Oryctolagus cuniculus: one gene and its partners. The protein of the gene in region 1 interacts with the protein of each later gene in a pairwise test. Links are inferred from orthologs where the notes say so. Each region holds a gene or a part of one and is shown in the gene's direction. Other genes may lie near its edges. The genes, in order: ERLIN1, FA2H and AGR3.

Region 1 (8,200 bases):
AGAGGCTTAACCCAGTGCTCCGCAATGCCTGTCCCCACCCTAATTTCTTAAGCCAAGAGCTGTTTTATTCTTTTTCTCTCCTGGAATTTTATACATAACCTTGTGATCAAGTCCTTCCTCTATCATGTCTCCAGGATTTATAGCTTTCCATTTACATATCCTTCACTAAATTAACCTAAATAAATCAATTATTTAGCTTTCCAGCTGGCTTTCTTGGCTTCAGATAAAATGGCTAATGAGGACTGCGTCACATATGAACAAAGGAATTAAGTAAAAAACATTTGTTTTTAAAGATTCATTTTGTAACTGTGTAAGAAGGACTAGGGAGAGCCCAGTGCCAGCCAACATTCAGGTCCTTCTTCTAATATCCATGTTCTCATCGCAGAATTTCACCTGTTTAAATTTACCTCTTCTGCCCCAGTCAAACCAGTCTTCTTGACACCTATACATGCAGTTTGTATTCAACTTTGTGTATTTGAATATGATTTTATTGAATTTTAGTTTCTGTGTCTCATCTGTTCTTATTTCTCTCCCTCTAGTCCTGATTTTTGAATATTTCACTATAGGGAGCTTTTTGAGCTGTTACTTGACTCTCTGTGACTTAACACTTAGTAAGCCGAGCTTATATGCTGTTGTTGTATACCTGTTGATGGGTTGCTTTGTAAGGATTTCATCTCCTCTGCTCTTCAGGGATTTGCTTTCTATTTCTTTTGCATTCTGTGAAGGAGTATGTTGCTATGTGCTTGATAAGGTGCAGTGTGTCCAGACTAGACTCATTAGATTGCCTGACATAACTGAGGCTTTAGAAGGTAATAAGTCATTCTAGATCTGCACAAAGATGTGGCATGGGCAGAGCAATCAAGTGCCAGATTGCTGGTTCAGTCGAAGGAAGCAGTACTGGTGGTGGCACTTTTATTAAAAGAGAAACTGAATGGAACACATGAGAGATCACTAGGTCCTGAGCTAAAATGTTGTCTATAGCTTTAGAGAAGAAAGGTTGCTGCTGAAGCCACGGGCAGCTTGTAATCCTAGAGTACTTGTATGCTTGTGATATTTGTGTCTTTAGTGCAAACCATAATATTAGCAGTGAAATCAAAATCCAGAGCACAAGTCCGAGCCATAGTGTTCTCATAGATTAGCCAAGAAGTGTGTAATTTCAATTCAGCTCCAGGTGAATAAGGGACTCTGGCAGAATTTTCCACTTACCAACAGATTGAACATTGAACCTTTCCCAGTGCATCTGGATTCAAACATTAGCTATGAAATGTTTTCTTTCTCAAATACTTCAATTCTAAGATACAAAAGGAAATGACTACTCTGATAGTTCAATTTTGGGGCCTGGAGCTGTCCTGTGCTTACTCCCAGCAGCTCTCCTGAGGTTTGCTTCTGGGACCACTAGTACTCTGACGAATTGTGTCTGAAGTATTGATGCTGTTTTTTTCCTCCCTAGACAACACTACAAACTGATGAAGTTAAAAATGTGCCTTGTGGAACGAGGTAAGTTTTCTCCTTGCTTAGTAATCTCCTATTAGCTCAGATGGAGCTTCTGCTCAAGTGTGTTGATCACTGAACATCTTTCAAATAGGAATGAAAGTAACCCAGAGAAGTTTATGATCTGAGCATTGTTAGCAAAGACCCATCTCTAAAATACAAGCTTTCCGTCTTAGTAGCCATAAGGGTGTTACTGAAAAATGCATGAAGTTTTAGAGCCTGATGATCTCGCTTCGTATACTTTATTGTTCAGAGAAATAGTAAAATTGAGCAGAAAGTACAGAGGTCTCATTTAACCCTTTGTCTTTACTGACTTTTCTAAGGTTAGTTTCCTCATTTGTAAAAATTGAGTAATGTAAGATCTGTCTTACAGAGTTACTTTTTTAAGGATTAGAATTAATGTATATGATGTGGTTAGCCCAGCACTTGGCCTAGAGCAGGTGTTCAGTGAAAGGTAGTTTAAAATTATGTCATCTCACGTTCTCCTGTATAGTAGTAAATGCCATCCGATGTTAGAGTTTCTGATTTGGTAGGTCTGGATGAGGCCTGAGAATTTGTGTTTCTTATATAAATTCCCAGCATTTTTGCTGTTGTTCTAAAGACCTCACTTTTAAGGTTGCTGACCTAGAGAAAGAAAGGCAAGCAAGGTCGAGGTTATTTCTAGAACATAATCACCATATTGAATTGTATCAAAATAATATGAAGCAGACCTGGTGTTTTGAGTTAATATATTTGATTATTAGTTTCTTCATAGGGCTATCTGTACCTCTCTTTTATGGATTCCTTTAATGGCTCACACTTTCTCCTGTCTTTGTTTTTAGTGGTGGAGTCATGATCTATATTGACCGAATAGAAGTGGTTAATATGTTGGCTCCTTATGCAGGTATGTTAGTACTTATAGCTTATGGTATGTTACTTATAGCTATAACCAGATTCTTTCTAACTAGAAGATTCCCCGGAAAATAGAAAAGTACTTTTAAAGTTTATTTAGAGAATAATTACTAGAATATTTTCTATTTCTAGGAAACGGAGACAGAAATAGGTCACAAATTGTGGGCAACAGACTGCAACCATATGAATTACTCTTCTCCGAGCTTAGTGTTTCCAAGAGCCAGATTATTGATTATTGATTATTTCTGGAATGAGATAGTAGCATTTTATCCAGTCAGGATGAGAGATCATTTCCTTCTGTGCTAAAAATCTATAAATAATCTCTTCCTTGGGCCACAGTGATTTGTCAAAAGAATCTTTTCTAATTGGTATTTGCTGTAAGTTGCAAAGCAATCTGAAAGTCTTCAGTGAGAGGAAAGCATTTTCTTGGTAAAAGATGAAAGTCCACGGCCGGCACTGTGGCTCAATAGGCTAATCCTCCGCCTTGCAGTGCCGGCACACCAGGTTCTAGTCCTGGTCGGGGCGCCGGATTCTGTCCTGGTTGCCCCTCTTCCAGGCCAGCTCTCTGCTATGGCCCGGGAGTACAGTGGAGGATGGCCCAAGTGCTTGGGCCCTGCACCCGCATGGGAGACCAGGAAAAAGCACCTGGCTCCTGGCTTTGGATCAGCGCAATGCGCCGGCCGTGACGGCCATTGGAGGGTGAACCAACGGCAAAAGGAAGACCTTTCTCTCTGTCTCTCTCTCTCTCACTGTTCACTCTGCCTGGAAAAAAAAAAAAAAAAAGTCCACAGACCTAGAATGGGTACTATTTAAATCAAGAACTTAGATCACCGTGAATAAAACTGAAAATATTTCAGAGCAGAGAACATATATATTCTGGTCAAAGGGATTTTGATCATGTTTTTCAGAGATTAAGTATTTCCCTCATTTTTTTTTCACCTATTTTTGCTCATCACAAATGATTGGAATAGATGATTGGAAATAGAAGAAGGGAGGGAATTTATGGGTCTGTAAGCAGAGATAAATAGGAAACTCTGAAATCACCAATTCATTTGGAAAATGCCCAAAGAATGTCAGTGTCTGTTAATGGTCTATCATCAGTTGTGATCTGGAATCCGTTTGCATGTAGTATCTGGTATGGGAAGGCTGTGAAGCAAGTCGCTGGGTCTGAAGAAACAGAACGCAAGTTTTGTAGGTAGAGCATAGTTTCTGATATGACTTGGTATGTACCTTTTGAGACATTTCTGAGGTTCTTTTAGGAAATCTTAGTTTGCTAATATGTAAGATGAGATTTTTGGCAGGTATATTACATGCTAATGTATATAAATTGTCTGACCTAAAGCTTAGCCCAGTATTAGTTCCTTTCCCTTCTAACCTGGTGTCTTTTTATAGTCTTTAAAAACTGCCTTTTAAAAATACAGTCTTTTGGCCGGTGCCGTGGCTCAATAGGTTGATCCTCCGCCTTGCGGCGCCGGCACACCGGGTTCTAGTCCCAATCAGGGCGCCGGATTCTGTCCTGGTTGCCCCTCTTCTAGGCCAGCTCTCTGCTGTGGCCAGGGAGTGCAGTGGAGGATGGCCCAAGTGCTTGGGCCCTGCACCCCATGGGAGACCAGGATAAGTACCTGGCTCCTGCCATCGGATCAGCGCGGTGCGCCAGCCGCTGCACACCGGCCGCGGCGGCCACTGGAAGTTGAACCAACGGCAAAAGGAAGACCTTTCTCTCTGTCTCTCTCTCTCTCTTTCTGTCCACTCTGCCTGTCAAAAAAAAAAAAAAAAAAAAAGTCTTTTACAGCTGCTTCCTTCTTTTATCTCCACTGTTCCTTAATTAGTTCACTTCCTCTTTACTTCTTACCTAAGCTTTTACTTTACACTAATTGTCTTAGATTCTCCCTGTGTGCCTCTGAACTCTGTGCCTCTCAGTTCATCTTCACAAAGACACCAAAATAAAAATTTTGTTTGCTCTTCTTAGTATGGAATTTGAGGTTTATCTATTAGTACTGCAAGCAAATGCAAGGATATCTGGAAAATTGAGCAGAAGAAACACATCAAAATTTTTGAGTTGTGTTTTATGTTTTCATAATGTGTATGAGGGATTTCAAAAACTTCATTGAAAGTTAGAATTGTGAAATTCATAGTATGCATTTTCCATGAACTTTTTGAAGCCCTTTGGTTTATTACTTTAATATTTATCCTGAATCTGAGAAACCTGGGTGCTTTTGGGTGAAACAAACCTGGGTTGTACCTCTCCTTCAGTGTTTGATATCGTGAGGAACTACACTGCAGATTATGATAAGACCTTAATCTTCAATAAAATCCACCATGAGCTGAACCAGTTTTGCAGTGCCCACACACTTCAAGAAGTTTACATTGAATTGTTTGGTAAGTAATAGCCTATTGGATATCTTGTAAAACTCATTTATCAATGCTGTAGTAGTATACCTTATGCTATGATAATTTCTTTTGAGTTTATAATAAAGCAATTATATAACTTGGTAGAGATTAGAGTAACTTCATTTACTCACTGTGTTGTGTTATGTTAACTTAATGACATTAGCTTTATTACTACTTAGTAGATAATTTGAGGAAATTTAGTTTCTGGGCTCCCCAAATTCCCCCTTCTCCCCCTACACCAAGTAATTTCGTAGGAAGACTGACAAGACTCAGCATAAAGTTATATTCATGACTACAATTTATTACACCCAAAAGATGAAAAGTGAAATCAGCAAAAAGAAAAGGCATATAGGTAAAGTCTGAAGGAAACCAGACACAGGCTTCCAAGAGTCCTCTCACAGTGAAGTCAACACAGGTTGTATTGAATTCTCCTGGTAACAAGTTGTGACAACACATGGGAAATGTTGTCTACTGAGGAAGTTCATTAAAGACTCAGTCTTGGCCGGTGCCGTGGCTCAATAGGCTAATCCTCCGCCTGCGGCGCCGGCACACCGGGTTCTAGTCCTAGTCCCGGTTGGGGAGCCGGATTCTGTCCCGGTTGCCCCTCTTCCAGGCCAGCTCTCTGCTGTGTCCCTGGAGTGCAGTGGAGGATGGCCCAAGTGCCTGGGCCCTGCACCCACATGAGAGACCAGGAGAGGCACCTGGCTCCTGCCATCGGATCAGCGCGGTGTGCTGGCCGCAGCAGCCATTGGAGGGTGAACCAACAGCAAAAGGAAGACCTTTCTCTCTGTCTCTCTCACTGTCCACTCTGCCTGTAAAAAAAAAAAAAAAAAAAAAAAAAAACTCAGTGTTGGGGCTGGCCCTGTGACATGGGGCCCGTGTTGTGACATAGCAGGTAAAGCCACTGCCTGCAGTGCCCGAATCTCATATGGGCACTGGTTCAAGTCCCAGATGCTCCACTTCCAATCCAACTCTCTGCTATGGCCTGGGAAAGCAGTAGAAGATGGCCCAAGTCCTTGGGCCCCTGCATCTGCATGGGAGGACCTGGAGGAAGCTCCTGGCTCCTGATTTGGATTGGCGCAGCTCCAGCCATTTTGGCCATCTGGCAAGTAAACCAGCAGATGAAAGACCTCTCCCTCTCTCTCTGTCTCTCTTTCCCTCCCTGTGTAACTCTGACTTTCAAATAAATAAATAAATCTTTAAAAAAAACAAGACTCAGTGCTGTGAGTGTTGTTGAGGTCTGGTCACATAGGTGTACCCTCTGCCAACCGATACTAAAATTCCTGTCTCCCAGGAGAAAAGCAGATGTTCAGGGTAAACCACATTGTTTATGTCAATGGTTTAGGGACCGTGAGCTTCTTGTATCAATTCAGGGGATGCCAGGGACCCTCCCCAAATCCAGGTTCCCAGCTGCCAACTAAGGGCCAGTTAACAAATAGGCCTTTGTAAGTAAGGACTGCAGTCTCAGGTCTTCGCATGAACTCTGCTGCATCACGTGAAGAGATGACATTATTACTGTACATTCTGTGTGTGTTTCAGAGACTTTTCTATGAACTTTTTTCCTTTCTTTTAAAATCCAAAGGTAAATGTAAGATTGAGGTGTGTGGGAATGAAATTTAGTTGTTTGGAAATCTGAATTAACATTGACTTAAGAGAGAAATTTGCTTTTTTATGAGAATCAGATTGCGCATTAAGTAGTAGCCGTGAATTAATAAACAAGAGACCCAAATTCTCCATTTATGGGATAGATAGATTCTATACAGTAAGCTTTTTTATTAAGTCTAATATTAAACTTTTCTAATAAATAAAAAAGAACATTTGGCAAAAAAAAATTATCTAATAAATAACTTGTCCAAAGTTCAATAATAAGCTTATTGGATAAACAGACTAGTTACTTGTTGATGGAACAAAGACATAAGCCTCAGCCATTCTTGCTCATTGCCCAAAAGATGGATAAACATTGGAATTTATTCCTTGTCCTTGAATCTCACTTGGATTTCACATCTTACTGCCTTCATACTCCATCCCCACATTCTTTTCCAGATTCCCAAGGCCCCTGAAAGACCAGTTCCATGAATTCACCTCTGCCTGCTACCCCCACCCCCAACTCCATCCCTGTCCCTCCTAAGCTATAAAAGGGCCCATCCCCTGGGGCCAGGGCATTCTGCTACATGTTCTATCAGTGTGCACACCGGCAGCTGGTCACATGACCCATCTCTGTGTATTTATTTTCTCTGAGTAAATTCGGTCAGGCTGTAGATTCATATACTGCCTCCTCTCTATTCTGCACCTCTTTTCCTGACACTTGTCATCTTCTTCCTTAATTTCTTTAATAGATCACCACACTTTTCTCCTACACAAAAGGAAAATACATATATGAAGCAGTTTAAGCTCTACTAAAAGATAATACTATTGAACTTTAGGACTAATACTTAGGTTATTGGATCGTGCCTTTGCTTTGGCTTTAATGTGTTGTGAGAAAAATTGAGTATCATGAGATCTTTTCTTCTTGGCTTTGAAAACAGATCAAATAGATGAAAACCTGAAACAAGCTCTACAGAAAGATTTAAACGTCATGGCCCCAGGTCTCACCATACAGGTAAGCACTCTTCCAAGGGAACTTGTCGGCAATTTTGAGGGTTTTGAGTTTAATCCTCCTATCATATTTAAAATACTGAAGTGCTATGGTAATTTGTAGAATACTTTTCTCAATTTGACTTTAGGTTTCCACAAAAATAAAATACTCTTGTAGCTTATTAATGGCACTTTCTTGTGAATACTTAGAGAAAATTGATAAACTGAGGCTCTTAGAAAAAATAGAATTCTTATTTCTGCCTTTGTGATACATTATTTAAATACTGTGATGGTTATAAATCAGTATAAGAGTAATCCTTGCCCTCAGTTTATGAAAAAAGACTTGAAATCTAAGAGTTGAACAATAATTCTAGACAAAATAAATATCACAAAGTTTCAGTTGCCAAATGAATTCACAGGGTGGTTATTGCTGTAAGAGACCATTTCTGTGTGGTCTGGGAAGGTTGTGACTGTGTTAAGATTTTAGGTAGGTATGGAAAAGTTCATTGAAAATTCTGTGAGAGGACTGAGAACTGGGTATTTCAGTGGGTGGATGGCCTGAGTAGCAGTTGGACTTAATAGTGAGTGTGGCAGTAGTATGTGGAGATAGAATAGTAAGAGATTACACCCTTTTCTGAATCATTGTGTTTTCAGATTTGGGGTTGAAATCCATTAATGGGTTGTGATTGAAATCCATTAATGGGTTGTAAAATCATTTTTAGTAGGTCATGACCAGCATTTTAAATAGAATGGAATAGAATAGGAAAAGAAATGGCATGTAGTAAGTTTAAGTAACTCGTGAAACTTTAAGTATATGGGGGTGGTATTTATATTGGTGTCAAAACAAACGTGT
Region 2 (7,890 bases), on another chromosome or scaffold:
AAGAGGCAGGGATGTGGCCGCCAGGGTCAGGTCTTGTGGAACCTCAAGTGCCACCCCATGGGGTTTGGGTTCTGCCTGAAGGTCAGGAGCCTCCGTGGGAGGCTTCGATAGCGTGTGGAGAAGGGGGTAGGGTTGATCGCTGACGCTGTCCTGGGAACATGAATAGTGGGGTAATATGAGGTGAGATTCATATAATAGAAAATTAGTCACTTGAGAGCGTGCAGTTCAGTGGCGTTTATTACATCCACCACCTCTGCATCTAAAACACGCCCATCACCTCCAGAGCAAACCCTGGAGCCCCCATTTCTCCCTCTTCCCTGGAGATGCTCAGTGCAGGTGGCCATGCAGGGCTGAGGTGGACACAGATGTGCAGGAAAGCATCGTGGAGGGTGTGGTGGTCGCCAGGGATGGAGCAGAGAAGATGGAGGATCAAGGCTTGGACCCTGGGGACAGAGGCAGAGTTTCTACCATGAAGCCTAAGAGGAAGTGTCCAGCCAAGAGGAGAAAACGTGGGCCCCGCAGGCAGGGGTGGAACAGTGTGTGCTCGTCATTGACCCCAGCCCCTTTTAGACTCTGAGAAGCTGTGGACTCTCTCCCCAGGAAAATGCACACAGGTGCATAATAGTGTGGTCACTTCAGTAGGTTCCAGAACACCCTAAAATCCAGCTTCGGAGCCCCTGATGTTCGTAAGGCTCAGGTGGGGATCCAATGCATAGTCAGGCATTTGACCTAATGATCAGGCCCACCTTCCACATCCGTGTGCTGGGCTTTGATCCCTGACTCTGGCTACTGATTTAAGCTTTCTGCTGATATACACCCTGGGCGGCAGCAGCAATGGCTCAAATAGTTGGATTCTCTCCACGAACTGAGTTTCTACCACCAAATGCCAACTACATTACCAGCTCCCAGCTTTGGCCCAGCCCAACCCCCACTGTTGCAGGCATTTGGGGAGTGAACCAGCAGTGGGAGTTCTCTGTCTTCCTCGCATAAATAATATTCTAATTAGAAGAAGAAGAATGCATGCTGTTACAGATTCAAGAAGAGAGTGGTCACTAATGTCACATGGCCCAGCCAAGTGGGAGAAGGATCAGAAAATTACTTTGATTTAGCAGAAATACATCATGAATGGCCTTTGCAATTCTGGAAAACAGGGCAGAAGGCAGTTTTTAGGGACTTGATAAGGCCTCAGGAACCAGTGAGGTGGAGGTGCGAGTCTGGCCCAGCTGTCAGTAGGTGAAGTGAAAGATGAGCAGAGGGGGCTGTGCCCAGAGACTTGGCTGGCATGGAGGCGGCTGCCTAGTAGGGTGACCCTGGCAAGTGGTGACGGCCGCCTGTTCCTCCACACCCGCCTCGCGGAGGCAGTGCCAGCGCACCCTCACATAAGGGTGTGGTGACAGAACGTAGAACCACCGAAGTGCGGCATTGGGCCACCTGTGTCTGCCGCCATGTCTTTTCCTGATCACCCATGGCCTGGAGCCTGCCTGGGTCACGCCTCCCCAGGAAGCAACAAGGATGCCCCAGGTGGACAGAGGAGGAAGGGAGGACTGGAGGCGACAGCTCGCCCCGCCCTGCCCCACAATAGGCCTGTCTTCTCCGTGAAGCGGAGGCTGCGTGGAAGGGGGGAGGGTGTCTGAGGGCGGAGAGGAGTGGTAGATGCTGAAGGACCACCAGGCAGGGCTTGGGGTCTTGCTGAAGTTGAACACACCAGCAGCTGGCCAAGCCGCCTGGGTACGAGATGGAGTGGCAGACTCTGGTGCTGATCGAGGCCTGGGGTGAATGGAACCAGGGAAGGAGGAAAGATCCAAGGAGAATCACTGGCTTTGGAAACCAGCCCAGCAGCTGCTCCCAAGCTGAACCACATAGGTGCCTGTCAAAAAAAAAAAAAAAAAAAAGTCTGCCGGCGCCGTGGCTCACTAGGCTAATCCTCCGCCTAGCGGCGCCGGCACACCGGATTCTGTCCCGGTTGCCCCTCTTCCAGGCCAGCTCTCTGCTGTGGCCAGGGAGTGCAGTGGAGGATGGCCCAAGTGCTTGGGCCCTGCACCCCATGGGAGACCAGGATAAGCACCTGGCTCCTGCCATCCGATCAGCGTGGTGCGCCGGCCGCAGCGCGCCGGCCGCGGCGGCCATTGGAGGGTGAACCAACGGCAAAGGAAGACCTTTCTCTCTGTCTCTCTCTCTCACTGTCCACTCTGCCTGTCAAAAAATAAAATAAATAAAAAAATAAATGTCCTAACCATGACCGTGGTGGTGACTGCACAACTCTAAGACTCCAAACCACGGATCGTGCTTCATACGATGAGCTGCATGCTCACATGTCATGTTTCAATAAAGCTGCTACCTAAAAAGAGAAAGCATGGCCCAAGCAATGGTTTGTGGAGAAAGGAAAAGCTAAGAGGGTGAGGATGGAAATGGAGGAGACAGGTGTGAGAGGTGAAGTTCCCAGGAGGCCAAAGAATGAGCCAAGTGGAGGAATGACACAGAGCTGCAGGGACCACAGGGGTCATGGGGGGTGGGGGGACTGGAGAGTGGGCCCCTTGCCCTTGACGGTCCGTCTCCAGGCTGGCCTCATCTGCTACTTCCAGATCTCCCCCAGCTGCTTCTCCCTAACACCCCTGTCCTTGGCTCTTCCTGTCCTCTGGCCCTGCAGGCTCTGAGCGATGTCTTTCATCCGTAGCCCCTGACCCCACCGGCTCAGCTGCTGGTCCCCTTCCCCTCCTGCAGCTCTACCCACCCCCCCAGGGAAAAGAGCAGCTCTCTCCTAAACCACAACAGACCCTCTCGGCCTCCTTCCCGTTCTGCCCCAACGACAGGGCCAGGACGCCACAGGTGCTGGACAGAGGGCAGCCACTCCCACGCTGCCCCGGGTGATGAAACAGGGACGTTTGGAGCCGCCAGGCAGGCGCTGCTGCACCCGGGACCCGCTGGCCCTGACCCTGCCTGCCCCCCTCTCTGCCGCCCCTGCAGAGTACTCGGTGGCGGTGCCCGAGTCCGCGTTCCCCGGCCTCTTCGTGCTGGGCATGTTCCTGTGGAGCCTCATTGAGTACCTCATCCACCGCTTCCTGTTCCACATGAAGCCCCCCAGCGACAGCTACTGCCTCATCACGCTGCACTTCGTGCTGCACGGCCAGCACCACAAGGTGGGTGTGGCCGTGGGGTGGGACATCGGCAAACCCGAGGCATCGGAGGCTGCACAGGGGGGAGACGGGCCCAGGCATCCTAATCTGAGCAAGACGGGACAGTGAGTGAGTGAGTATGTGTGTGCACATGTGTGCATAAGCATGCATGTAAATGCTGTGCGTGTGTGTACATATGTGTGCACGTGTGCCTCTGCGTCACCCTCCATGAGCCTCGTGAATCTGCACAGCTCATTCACTCATTCATTCTGCAAGTGTTCTGAGGCTGAATGCCTACCATGTGCCAAGCATCAGTGACCCAAGCAGGCGAAGCACCTGCAGTTTTCCCCAATTCCACAGAGCAGGAAGTAGGCCAGGGGGAATTAATGTACTAAGGGACTCACCCAGGGTCAGGCAGGCACAACCAGCACGCTGTCCCCCACCATGTGGCTGCTCTCACCAGCACCCGCTGGCCCTGGGAGTATCAGCCCAGAGGTGGGACTGGAAGCCAGGTCGGCCCCAGGGAGCTACCTCCCCCTGGCAGCTTTGCTGTGCCTGCACAGTGCTGTCCTCGGCCTGGCCCAGGGGCCCCTTCGCCGCCATCTCCTCCAAGGCAGGGCCTTCCCCCACTTTCTCTTCTCTGCTGGGGTGGGCTGCCCTCCTGTTCTTCCCAGTGCTGAGCTGTGTTCTGGGAGTCTCACGTGGCAGCCTGTATCTGGGTGAACATCCAGTCCTGGGCCAGCCTGGCTCTAAGAGGTGCCACGGCCAGTGTCCTCTTTCTAGGCTGACGCCAGCCCATCGGGCCTCTGCTGTCCAGGCCCTGTCCCTCACCCCCCTCACGACATCTCAGATCTATCGCTCCCTATTGGTCAACTTTCCCATCTTCAGGGGACAAACGGACCCTCTGGGGGCTGGAGGGACTGTCTCGGGCTCTCTCTTCCAAGACATTTCCACCTCAGTACACGCAGTCCCGTCATGGCACAGCACAAGGACAGGAGGAGCTTGTGTGGCCCACCGCCACCTCCTCAGATACCCAAGCCTTTGTGTCTAGGGGTCTGTGGCCTGGGCTCATGCCTAATTTGACCCTGGCCACGTCAGGAGTGTTTACACTGCAGGAATCGGCAAACGCTGCTGACCTGGGCGCCCTCATCCTCCCTCCTGCTTTTTATCCCTTCTGCCCCCAGCCTGCCTGCCTTTGTCTGAGCACTGCTTCCCTGCACAGCACTGGCCCTGTTGCCATGGTTTGAGGAAGGGAGGCCCACACCTGCGGATCTCTGTTGGCAACACCTGCTTTGTCCCTGCACAGAGGGCCTTGTGTGGGGAGGTGGCGGTGCAAACCACATCTCTGCACAACACTTCCGGGAACACCCTCCCAGATCGCAGGCCTCAGGCTAGGCCCCCTGTCTCCAGAAAGCCCCTTGAGCCTTCCTGTCTGGCACCAGGGCCCACGTGGTCCCTTGAGTTCCAGGTGGGCCCTGAGCCATCAGCACACCTGCATCCGCTCCCTCCCACGTCACACCTGGCCCTGTGTTCCTGGATCGGGCAATCTCTCCAGGGCTTTGGACTTGGGTGGCCTGCCCTTCCCAAAGCCACCAAACACGCCAGGCCCACCCAAGACAGGTCCCTGTCCCCTCACTGGAAACATTCGGGCTGCTCCACGCTCATCTTGGGGAGCGTCTCCAGTGAGGCACGCTGCGACCCCGAGCCAGCGCCACCTCTGACACTCGGGCCTCTCCATCCACAGGCACCCTTCGACGGCTCCCGCCTGGTCTTTCCCCCCGTGCCGGCCTCTCTGGTGATCGCCTTTTTCTACGTGTTGTTGCGGCTCATCCTGCCCGAGGCGGTGGGGGGCACGATGTTCGCTGGGGGCCTCCTGGGCTATGTCCTCTACGACATGACCCATTACTACCTGCACTTTGGCTCGCCGAACAAGGGCTCCTACCTGTACAGCATGAAGGCGCACCACGTCAAGCACCACTTTGCACATCAGAAGTCAGGTGAGACAGGCTGGAGCCTCCCCGCCTCCCCTGTTGGCCCGGGATCGACTGGACAACAGCTGTTGAATCCCTGCGAAGGGCCAGGCGTTGTCTTCGGTGCTGGGGCACACACAGAGCTTCCTCCATCCTGCTCACGGGTGCAGGTGGCTGTGCAGAGACAGACAAGGAACAGAAATGCCATTAAAGGAAAATAAAGCAAGGTGATACTTGAGTAACCCTGGGTGGGGGGAGGGGGCCCAGCACTGCCCATTAAAATGCAGTCATGCACCACACAACAAGATTGTGGTGGTCAGCCGTGGACCCTGGATACAGCAGTGGTCGTGTAGGACTATAGCACTTCATCTCATTACAGCTGCCTTAGTTTGTGTAAGTACACCGATGTTCTCACCATGATGGAACTGCCCAGCAAGACATTTCTCAAAACACATCCCCACCAAGTGACAGGTGATAGCTGTACTATGCAGGCCGCATAGATGATTTTAAACTTTCTAGTGGCCACATTAAAAGTAAAAAACAAACAGGCATTTGGCTTTGCAGTTAAGCCACTGGTTAGGATGCCCACATCCCACCTGAGAGTACCTGGGTTTAACACGCAACTCCAGCTCTGACTCCACATTTGTGTTAATGCAGCTCCTAGCAGGCAGCAGTGATGGTTCAAGTAATTGGGTTCCTGCCACCCATGTGGGAGACCTGGATTGAGTTCCCAGCTTCTGACCTAGGCTCTGACCCAGCCCCAACTGTTGCAATCATTTGGGGAATGAATTGGTAAATAGACTATCTCTCTGTGTCTGTCTCTCTCTCTTCCTCTCAAATAAATAAATAACTTTATAGTAAAAAGATAGAACTGAAAATCATTTTTTTAATTTATGGGGCAGAGAGCTCCCTTCTGCTAATCCATTCCTCAAATGCCCACAATAGATGGGGCTGGGCCAGAGCCAAAGCTAGAAGCCAGACTTCCCATGTGGGCACCAGGGACTCAATTATTTGAGCCATGACTTCTGCCTCCCAGGGTCTGCACTAACAGGGAGCTGGAACAGGAGCCTGGAATGAAAACCACACACTGCTATAGAACATGGGACTTAAAAAAATGTATTTATTTATTTGAGAGGCAGAGTTACAGACAGAGAAAGAGATTTTCCATCTGCTGGTTCACTCCCCAAATGGCCACAGAGGCCAGAGCTGAGCCAATCCAAAGCCAGGAGCCAAGAGTTTCCTCTGGGTCTCCCACATGGGTGCAGGGGCCCAAGCACTTGGGCCATCTTCCACTGCCTTCCCAGGCCATAGCAGAGAGCTGGATCGGAAGAGGAGCAGCCAGGACTCTAACTGGCACCAAATGGGGTGCTGGTGTGGGCTTAACCTACTATACCACAGCGCCGGCCCCAGCACATGGGTCTTAAATGCCTGGTCCTAAAAAGCATTTTAATAAAGTATCCATTTAATCAAATATAACCAACATACTATTCTAACATGTAACTGACATAAAACACTGGTAATGGGATATCTTACATTCTTTCTCTTAGACAAAGTCTTTTTTTTTTAAATATATTTATTTACTTGAAAGTCAGAGTTACACCGAGAGAGAAGGAGAGACACACACAGAGAGAGAGAGAGAGGGAGAGAGACAGACAGACAGACAGACAGAGGGGTCTTCCATCCACTTGTGCACTTCCCAGATGGCCGCCATGGCCGGAGCTGCACCAATCCAAAGCCAGGAGCCGTGAGCTTCTTCTGGGTCTCCCACGTGGGTGTAGGGGCCCAAGGACTTGGGCCATCTTCTACTGCTTTCCTAGGCCATAGCAGAGAGCTGGATGGGAAGTGGAGCAGCTAGATCTCGAACCGGTGACCATATGGGATGCTGGTGCTGCAGGCAGCGGCTTTACCAGCTATGCCACAGCGCCAGCCCCTAGACAAAGTCTTTGAAATTCAGGGTCTATTTTGCCCTGACATTACATCTCAATTTAATTGCTGCATTTTCACTGGAAATACTTGATCTGTATCTAGGATTCATAAAACTGAAAATCTAAAAGTAGACTCACATACGTAAGTTGCCCCAGACATGCCTCAACGTTTTCTAGTAGCCGAACTGTCCGTGTTTGCACTGAAACTTAATGAAGTGAAAGCAATAGTTCCGCGGTGAGTGCAGGCACATTTCCAGTACACAGAAGCCACGTGCTGGGCAGCAAAGCTCTAGAAAAACGGCCCAGGAAGGGGGCACTGCAGAGCTGCCAGCAGAGCTAAGAACCACAAGAAGAAAAGCCGGTGTCCCCAATGTGTGGCCAGCGTGGCCCCAGGAGGCAGCAGCTCTGGGGCAGGGGTGAACTGTGAGGACCCGGAAGAGGCTGGAGGTGGGAGAGAGGGAAGCAGGCAGGCTGGGGCTGTCCCAGGATCCCAGGTCAGATAAGCAACCTGGGTTAGTTCCCACCACGCCCTGGGGACACAGGAAAGGCAGGTGCTGGGCCGGGCCTCTGCCAGGATGGCCCCAGGGCCTAGAAAGGCTGGCTTGTGCCCTCCTGGCTCACTCCCCGAGCACGCTGACCCGGCTCCTATTGCACTGCCTCACCTTCTCCCCGTCTGTCTCCCTGTGCAGGCTTCGGCATCAGCACTAAATTATGGGATTACTTTTTCCACACCCTCATCCCAGAGGAACCCCATGCGAAGACACAGTGACAACTCCCAGCACCGCCCCTCACCTGTCCTCAGCCCCGCCCTGGCCCCTGCTCCCCCACCCCCATCCAAACTCTGCTACAGAGCTTGGCTGGGCCAGGCAGCATGGCCTTGTC
Region 3 (8,200 bases), on another chromosome or scaffold:
CTGCTTTTCATCTAATCTGCAGGCCTCAGGATCTCTCAAGAACAATGGGGCACACACAGGGACCACATTCATTCCCTGTTCTTTTCTTCCTTTTTTCCCCTCTCGGTGTTGAACTCCAGCCAAACATTAAATTAGCCTGGGAAGCCAAAAGCAGAGGAGAAAGGATCCTAAAGATGGTATTATTTGGCCTGATTTCATGAGGACACTCAGTCTTGATTTAGAGAAACAGAAGAGCCTTTTCAGTGTGAGAAGCATGCGACTTGGTAGGACAGAGTTTTTCGGACAAGCCTATTTGTGCAAGTCTGCAGGTGACTATGCGATTGTACCTAGGCAGGTGGGGTTGTAGGTCAGTCAGGTGCGTATGTGTGCAGGTGTCTATAAATCCACACCCGTTTTTAACCAGAAACATCCAGAAAACATTTCTGACAGGAGCACGGGCCAGGACAGGTAAGCAAGCAACGTCTCCAGATTATATAATCAGTGCTCAACCTCCGCTATGTTTAAATGATCAACTTTTGCTGTTTAAAAATGAGGCTTTCAGGAAAGGGTGGGGAAAGTGAATGGAACTGTGTTTTTCTTCTCTTACTGGACTGAATTTCCTTTGCTGGCCTCACAGTTTTATTCTCTATTTATACGGATGTTAGAATATAAACTGGCATCAACCAAAAATGACTCTTTAAAAATTAGTCTATAGGGAACACTGGTTCTTCCCACTATCCTTTGTGTGTATGTGTGTGTGTATGTGTGTTTTAAATATAGAGATTTTTAATACAATATTTAAGTAAGTGGCTTGTGTTGAATTATTTTGAAATGCAAAATGCTATTATTGTAAGAAAATGCTAACTGGACAATGTTTATAAAGGCAAATTGTGCTGTAACCTGCTGTGGCATCATGACCAAGTCTCCTTCATCCCTGTACCCCCTTCATCCCTGTACCCCCTTCAAAGAAGCTTGCCTTTGCAATGGGGACTAAAGCACCCTCAGTCACCCACATTCCACTTCACCAAGGAAAGCACTGTTCATTCAAAACCAACAATGGGCAAGTTGTAGCGCTTTGTTGTAGTCTATTTTAATTTACCAACCATGTAAAACAGAAAACTAAGATTTTGAGTTAAGCAGAAAGTCTTTGGTAATACATAAATACTTGACATTTGAAAGAAAAAAAAAGTTTCCCATTCACCTCTAAATTTGGCAGCTTTAAAATGGCAAGAGAGGGAGTTACACTTTCTAATGTAGATTCCACCTGCTTATCTCCACCTCTAACGTGGAAAACATTGCCAGTACTTCCCGCAGTTGGGTGTTCCCTGAGTCTTCTTTACGTATAAGAAACTTAAGGCAATGTGGGACCATTTTCCCTAGGAAAGTGAACAGAGGCACACACACCCATACATACAGTTTCAGGGAGTTTTGAGCTTCCTGTAGCCATCCACAGACCTTCTAGAAGCTCACTGGATCCAGGTGAACAGGCTGTCCCAGGGGGTCCCTTCATTCTGTCCACTGCCACTTACACCTTGACCAAGGTCCCTGCCCAGGCTTGGCTCTGTGTTCAGACTCAGCTGTCTCTCAGCCCTACTGGAATCCACCCTTGCTTGGATTCAATCTTTAAGGTACAAGATGACCAGCCCTCGGGGTACAGGAAGATATTCTGCAATGTTTTATGGTTTAACAAGTTATAAGAACTTGAATTGAGATCTTTATCTGGCACCATGGTTACTGTTTAACAGAATTGTTTAGTGGGCAAAGACAAGAAAGTAGAACAAAAGGAGTTAGTTGTAGATTCTGGAGGCAAATCATTTAAATTCAGCAAACCTGGAGTGACAACCCTTTCAGTCCAGAGCTGGGCTGGAAGAGACACCCCACTGAGAAGAGGCACACACTGGCACCAGAGGAATGCGGAACTGTCTGGAAAAACCCATCCTCTGTAAACCTCACCACCACCACACTGCTGCTCTCCATGACTACAGTTGTTGTTTACCTGACTACACTATGGCAAGTGCCACTGGTTTTACCAATGCCAAAGCACTGGGCCTGCTTAGAGTTTCAGTTTTGTACAGTGACTAACACAGCTCACTGCAGAAACTTCTATGTATGACCAATCACTGAAGAGTCATTCACTGTACTTCAGCCAGGAAATTGCACTATTTTAGTGAGACGTTCACCACTGAATAACATAAATCATCAGGGGGGAAAAAAACTGTAAAGGAACTTTAAATAAACCTGAAGGACAACTGTCCATCATTTATTTCCTACTTTGAGATGAAGTTTCAGAATTGCATGTGGGATTTATATGCTAAGAATACTGTAACTAAACAACATCTCACAAGTATGGAACATACTTTGTAATGCATTTACCAAGTGGTTTAAGACCAACTCAGGCCACACTCTGGACTTTTGATTAAATCTTACCATGCAAAGTATAAAAAAGAAAAGCACACTAACTTTAGAATCAATTGTAATGTTAGCTAACAAAAAATATGAACTCCACTCTATTCTATATACATATGTTTAAGTCACAGCAATATGCCAATGTTTGATTTTTGGAAAAGAGGTGAAGGGCAGAGGGGCTGAGTGACCATTGGAGTGACTGACCATAAAGGAATTGAAGGACAAGGACTCTTCGTGGTCTAACTTTCCCCTGATTCCTGTTTCAAGCAGTCTTTGTTCATGCTTAGCCTCAGCATGATACAGAGTTAAAATGTTGTTTTAATCACTGGGTCTAGAAGAATCAAGAGGCAAAGGCTATCCCTGGCTGGTAGACCTCACCTTTGTATCGCTCTTTACAATTCCAAGGCCATTAACAAACACCATCTTGTTCGCGTTTCTCTGTGGGGCTGTGCAGTTTGGCAGCAGGTTTCATGTGCCTGTGTTACCAGTGAATGGCAGGGTTCTTGTCTTCGCACAAGAAAGAATTCAGGCATGAGACAGAGTGGTGGAAAGTAAAATAGCAAGGTTTATTAGGGTAGGGATATCCGTAAGAACAGATGGGCACCTCTCCAGACAGAACCTGAGAGAGAGTGCCCAGTCACTTAGACTGGGGGAGAGCGAGGTTCCATGGTTGAGTGGAGAAGACACCTGACCAGGCCAGGTGGGCGGCTCAGCAGAGAGGCAGAGGGCTGAGCGCGCAGTCCAGTTGAGGCCAGGGGTTTTTAAGGAGATGGGTCTTTGTCTTCTCACATCTCCTCCTGAAACAAAAGACTTTATGGGTGTAAATACTAGAAATTCCTATCTGAGTTTTCTCCCAGAAGTTATCAAACAAGAGGAAGCCTAGCTGGTGCCACCCTGGGTTTAGAGGAAGGGTGAGCAAGACCCCCTGGAGGATCTGAGCAGGGTATTTGAAATGCAGATACTGGGCTGCATCTGGAAGATTATCAGGCAGAAGGGGCGGGGACCCCCACCTGGCAGGTTATTGGGTAGAAGGAGCAGGGCAGGATGCAAACACTGGGCTGCCCCTGAAACATTATTGGGATGGCTTTGAGATGCATATGTTGAACCCAAATTCTCCTTAGGCCTTTGTCACACACATAAGCTCATATCTGACTTCCTACCTAACACCTGGATCCAGTTCTCTCTTAGTTGCCTCACCCTATGTGCAGGATGCCCAGAATGTGATTTTTCACCAAGTGAGCATTCACAGAGTTGATTCCACTTCTAAGATATTTATTAAGAATAAAACCTGGGGCTGGCACCATGGCTCACTAGGCTAATCCCCCACCTGCAGTGCCAGTATCCTGGGTTCTAATCCCAGTTGGGGCACGGATTCTGTCCCGGTTGCTCCTCTTCCTGTCCAGCTCTCTGCTGTGGCCCAGGAGTGCAGTGGAGGATGGCCCAGGTGCTTGGGTCCTGTGCCCACATGGGAGACCAGGAGGAAGCACCTGGCTCCTGGCTTTGGATCCACACAGCACGCCGGCCATGACAGCCATTTGGGGGGGTGAACCAATGAAAGGAAGACCTTTCTCTCTGTCTCTCTCTTGCACTGTCTACTCTACCTGTCAGAAAAGAAAAGAAAAGAAAGAAAGAAAAAAGAATAAAACCTGGATGAAAGGGTGGGTAGACTGAGTCAGATTAAGGAAGCAGAATGATTCATCCACACAGGCTGGGACCAGCTCTAAGTAAATGTCTTTTAACATGGCCTGAAGTAACCCAGTAAGGTCCTGAACATTATCTTCTGTCCTCCAGCTTCTCCCGAGGAACGTTCTAGAAGGCACCATGTTACACTATGCTTTGGCTCTCTGCCTCCTCCTTATCACCATCTCTTCTAACCTTGCTATTGCCATCAAAAAGGGAAAGAGGCCTCCTCAGACACTCTCAAGAGGTATGGTATTCTTTATGTCATTTCCTAAACTCAATCATTTGCATTGTTTGAAAAATACTTGATATCTTCACCCATACTCTAGTTATGAAGCAAATTCAATTAACTGAAAGATTTCTATTGTGTGGCTCCAAAGGTGATTTTTAAAGACAAACAGGAAGGATCCATTGAGTTTTGACAGTGAATTAAACCAACTGGGAAAAAATAACAACAATTTCCTGGGCCAAGCATTTGGCCTATATCCCACATTGGAATGCCTGGGTTCAAAACCCACCTCTTGCTCTCATCTCCAGCTTTCTGCTAACATGTGCCCTGGGAGAAGGCCATGATGGCTGAAGTAATTCAGTCACTGCCACTAACGTGGGAGACCTGGAATAAGTTACCAGCTCCTGGTTTTGGCTTGGCTCAGGCCCAGCTGTTGCAGACATTTGGGTAGGGAATCAACAGATGGGAGCTCTGTTCCTGTCTCTGTCTCTCAAAAAAAATCTAAAATTTAAAAAAAAAAAATACATGTCGTATCTTTTAGCAAAAGTAGTGGAGAACTGAATTCCTCTCTACAACTATGATAACCAGAGTCGTAGAGAATGATTAATATGATTGATGGGTATATCATCATAATATCTTAAAAATACCTAAATTCTTCGAAATGTACTCAAATTCCAAGTCCTGCTTATTAAGAAAATAATTTGGACTGATTTTATACAAAGTTACCCAAAAAATTAAACTTTATCCAAATTCCTGAGAATTTAGGCCAGTCTTGCTATATTGATTCCCAAAGACACATGCACCGGTTTTGGGTGTCATAAGCTGGATTTATCATTGGCTTTGGGATTAGAAAACATTTTTCTTTCTGTGATGTTTTTCTTGGCTTAAGAAACAAACATAACTTCAGGTATAAATAGACATTTTTATAAGGGAAAAATTCCCAAAACTGGTTTCTACAATTTCCTGGTAAGTTAGAACCATCTATCCTCACTCGGGGAATTCAAAATCAGCAGTTCAACTACAAGAGCACTTGAGCACTGTTTGGAAAGATCACATGAATAGAGCGAGGAAATGAAGACCTCCTGTGGTATGATTTCAAATTCTAAAACATTTATTTGCTTATCAAGTCCACTCATTTCTTAACAGATGTACTGGGTGCCAGCCAAATGCCTACTGGGGTTTACCTGATAACTCATTCTACTTCAGTTTAGCAATCACAGCAACTATATACTAGAGACTCAGTAACTTTTTGCCAAGGAAATCAATTGAAAGGGAGAAATGTAATTTATTATATATCCCTCTATATAGACATAAAGATAATAGAACAGAGAGGTCAAGTAATTTTTTTTAAAAGATTTATTTATGTATTTGAAAGTCAGTGTTACACAGAGAGAGAAAGAGAGAGAGAGGAGGTGTCTTCCATCCACTGGCCCACTCCCCAGTTGGCCACAACAGCCAGAGCTGTGTGGATCTGAAGCCAGGAGCCAGGAACCTCCCCCAGGTTTCCCAAAGGGGTACAGGGGCCCAAAGACTTGGGCCATCCTCTACCCCTTTCCCAGGCCATAGCAGAGAGCTGGATCGGACGTGGAGCAGCCAGGACTCAAACCAGCAGCCATATGGGAAGCCAGCACTGCAGACTAGGGCTTTAACCCACTGTGCCACAGCACCGGCCCTGGTCAAGTAACACTTTAGTGGCAAAGACTAAACTAGGCATTGACTCTGATGAGCTTCCAGGACTGAGAGAAGCCACGTTGCTACACCTGCACCTACCATAAGACGTCAACATGCTCTGTGCTCACTTTTAAATGTCGGCTTAAAATTTTTTGGTGAATGTTATGAAAAATATATTAAACAGAAACAGCATATGCATACAACTTAATGGATCTCCTATTACAATTATTAATGAACTATTTTGATAGCAAGGATGTGATAATAACTGAGAACCCCATTGTTAAAACTTGGCTTCTATGTAGTTTTGCTTGTTGCCATCTATTGCCATTTAGGAAACCAAGAGAAAAGGCTCAGAATGAATGAGGGTTAAAAGGGGAAGAGGGAAGGATGTGGGTACAGGATGCGAAGTAGCACTTGGAGCCCCTGAAAGCAGAGGGCAGCAGTAAGCAGCTAAATAAACAGACAGTAAGGCGAAAAACAAGATAATTAATTGGATCAAGGCAATAGATGGTTCAAGAAACAAAAGCACAGGTACATACAATGACTCAAAAAATGTCTTACTTCTTTTGAATCAAGACAGCCGCCCAGCACCCAGTGCATTGCCTGACATACTCAATAACACGTATTACAGGAGTGAATGAAACCTCAGAAGGCAAAGAAAGCAAAGACAGTTTACAGGTGGGATTAAAAGCAATGAACAGAGATCCCGAGAGGACCTCAACTTCTGAGTGCCCTTTGCCCTATTATGACTACGAGACAGAACATATCAAAACAAGTAGACTAGAACACAGCTGCTGATGGGGCTGTGAGTGATTCTTTGAGGGTTGGATTATATTACTTAACGTTTGTATTCGCAGTGCCCAGTAAAGTAAGCAGACACTCTTTGATGTTTGTGGACCCATGTTGAATAGGAATACACAATGTAAGTTCTGCCCATTGCTGACACTCCAGCATTGAGTGATGTTTGCAGCAACAGAAGAGGGAAAATTAAGCAGGGGCATAATCACACCTGCTGTTCTAGAACAGCGTTCCTTTGATGTGTAATGAATGTGGGAAGCAGAGTTGGAAGAGAATCAAGATTAGGACAAAGATGAAGTTTCTGCTAAGATGAGGTGTTAGATGAACATGAACATGAAAGAGCCTTCCAATGTTAAGAGTTTCAAAGCAGGCAAAAACAAACCGGCAACATTGCTGGTGTGAATGTGGAATGATGCAGCCACCTTGGGAAAAACAGTCTGGCAGTTCAATTCAGCAGTTTTGCTCCTGTGTGTATACCCACACCAAAGCTTGCACACTTAGGATCACAGCAGCATTACGCATTAAAAAAAGCCAAAAAATGGAAACAACCCAAAGGCCCATCAACTGATGAAAGGATTAGTAAAACGGGGTATAGCAATATAATGCAATGATATTTAATCATCAAAAAGGAATTAAATACTAATGCATGCCACAACATGGATGAATCTTAAGAACGTTATGCTAATTGAAATAATCCAGTGACAAAATATCACATAGCAAATGATTCCATGTATACAAACTGTGCACAGTTAGCAAATCGATGGTATATAGGATCGAGGAAGAAGAAGAGATCTGGGATTGGGGGGCATGATAGCTAAAGGCCACAGGGGTTTTCTTAGGTAATGAAAATGTCCAAAAATGATTGCAGCACAACTTTTTTTTAAGAAATCTTTTATTTAATAAATAAATTTTGAAAGTACAACTTTTGGATTGTAGCGGTTTTCCCCCCATAACCACCCTCCCACCTGCAAACCATCCCATCTCCTACTCCCTCTCCCATCCCATTCTTCATGGATAATCCTCCACCTGCGGTGCCAGCACCCCGGGTTCTAGTCCCGGTTGGGGCGCGGATTCTGTCCCAGTTACTCCTCTTCCAGTCCAGCTCTCTTCTGTGGCCCGGGAAGGCAGTGGAGGATGGCCCAAGTGCTTAGGCCCTGCACCCACATGGGAGACCAGGAGGAAGCACCTGGCTCCTCTCTTCGGATCGGCGCAGCGTGCCGGCCATAGCAGTCATTTGTGGGGTGAACCAACGGAAAAAGGAAGACCTTTCTCTCTCTCTCTCTCTCACTAACTCTGCCTGTCAAAAAAACAAAAAAGATTCATTTTTAATTTTCTTTACATACAAAAGATTAACTTTGTATATACTAAATAAAGATTTCAACAGATTGCACCCACACAGACACACAAAGTATAAAGTACTGTTTGAAGACTAGTTTT

What was found.
Region 2: the proteins of ERLIN1 (region 1) and FA2H interact in binary tests that used the Homo sapiens proteins (3 or more experiments, as listed by UniProt). The two-hybrid records come from large-scale screens. The link is inferred for Oryctolagus cuniculus from reciprocal best matches to the Homo sapiens genes ERLIN1 and FA2H.
Region 3: the proteins of ERLIN1 (region 1) and AGR3 interact in binary tests that used the Homo sapiens proteins (3 or more experiments, as listed by UniProt). The two-hybrid records come from large-scale screens. The link is inferred for Oryctolagus cuniculus from reciprocal best matches to the Homo sapiens genes ERLIN1 and AGR3.

What each region holds. Positions count from the first base shown.
Region 1 is NC_091446.1:29,937,300-29,945,499, forward strand, and holds part of ERLIN1 (erlin-1), read left to right. Parts: intron 1-1,450; coding exon 1,451-1,497; intron 1,498-2,312; coding exon 2,313-2,374; intron 2,375-4,635; coding exon 4,636-4,761; intron 4,762-7,298; coding exon 7,299-7,372; intron 7,373-8,200. UniProt on the Homo sapiens protein: Component of the ERLIN1/ERLIN2 complex which mediates the endoplasmic reticulum-associated degradation (ERAD) of inositol 1,4,5-trisphosphate receptors (IP3Rs).
Region 2 is NC_091449.1:57,268,802-57,276,691, reverse strand, and holds part of FA2H (fatty acid 2-hydroxylase), read left to right. Parts: exon of another isoform or gene 1-443; intron 444-2,964; coding exon 2,965-3,137; intron 3,138-4,857; coding exon 4,858-5,110; exon of another isoform or gene 5,111-5,257; intron 5,258-7,697; coding exon 7,698-7,777; 3' UTR 7,778-7,890. UniProt on the Homo sapiens protein: Catalyzes the hydroxylation of free fatty acids at the C-2 position to produce 2-hydroxy fatty acids, which are building blocks of sphingolipids and glycosphingolipids common in neural tissue and epidermis.
Region 3 is NC_091447.1:8,506,984-8,515,183, reverse strand, and holds part of AGR3 (anterior gradient protein 3), read left to right. Parts: intron 1-186; exon of another isoform or gene 187-447; intron 448-1,393; exon of another isoform or gene 1,394-1,635; intron 1,636-4,176; 5' UTR 4,177-4,206; coding exon 4,207-4,312; intron 4,313-8,200. UniProt on the Homo sapiens protein: Required for calcium-mediated regulation of ciliary beat frequency and mucociliary clearance in the airway. Might be involved in the regulation of intracellular calcium in tracheal epithelial cells.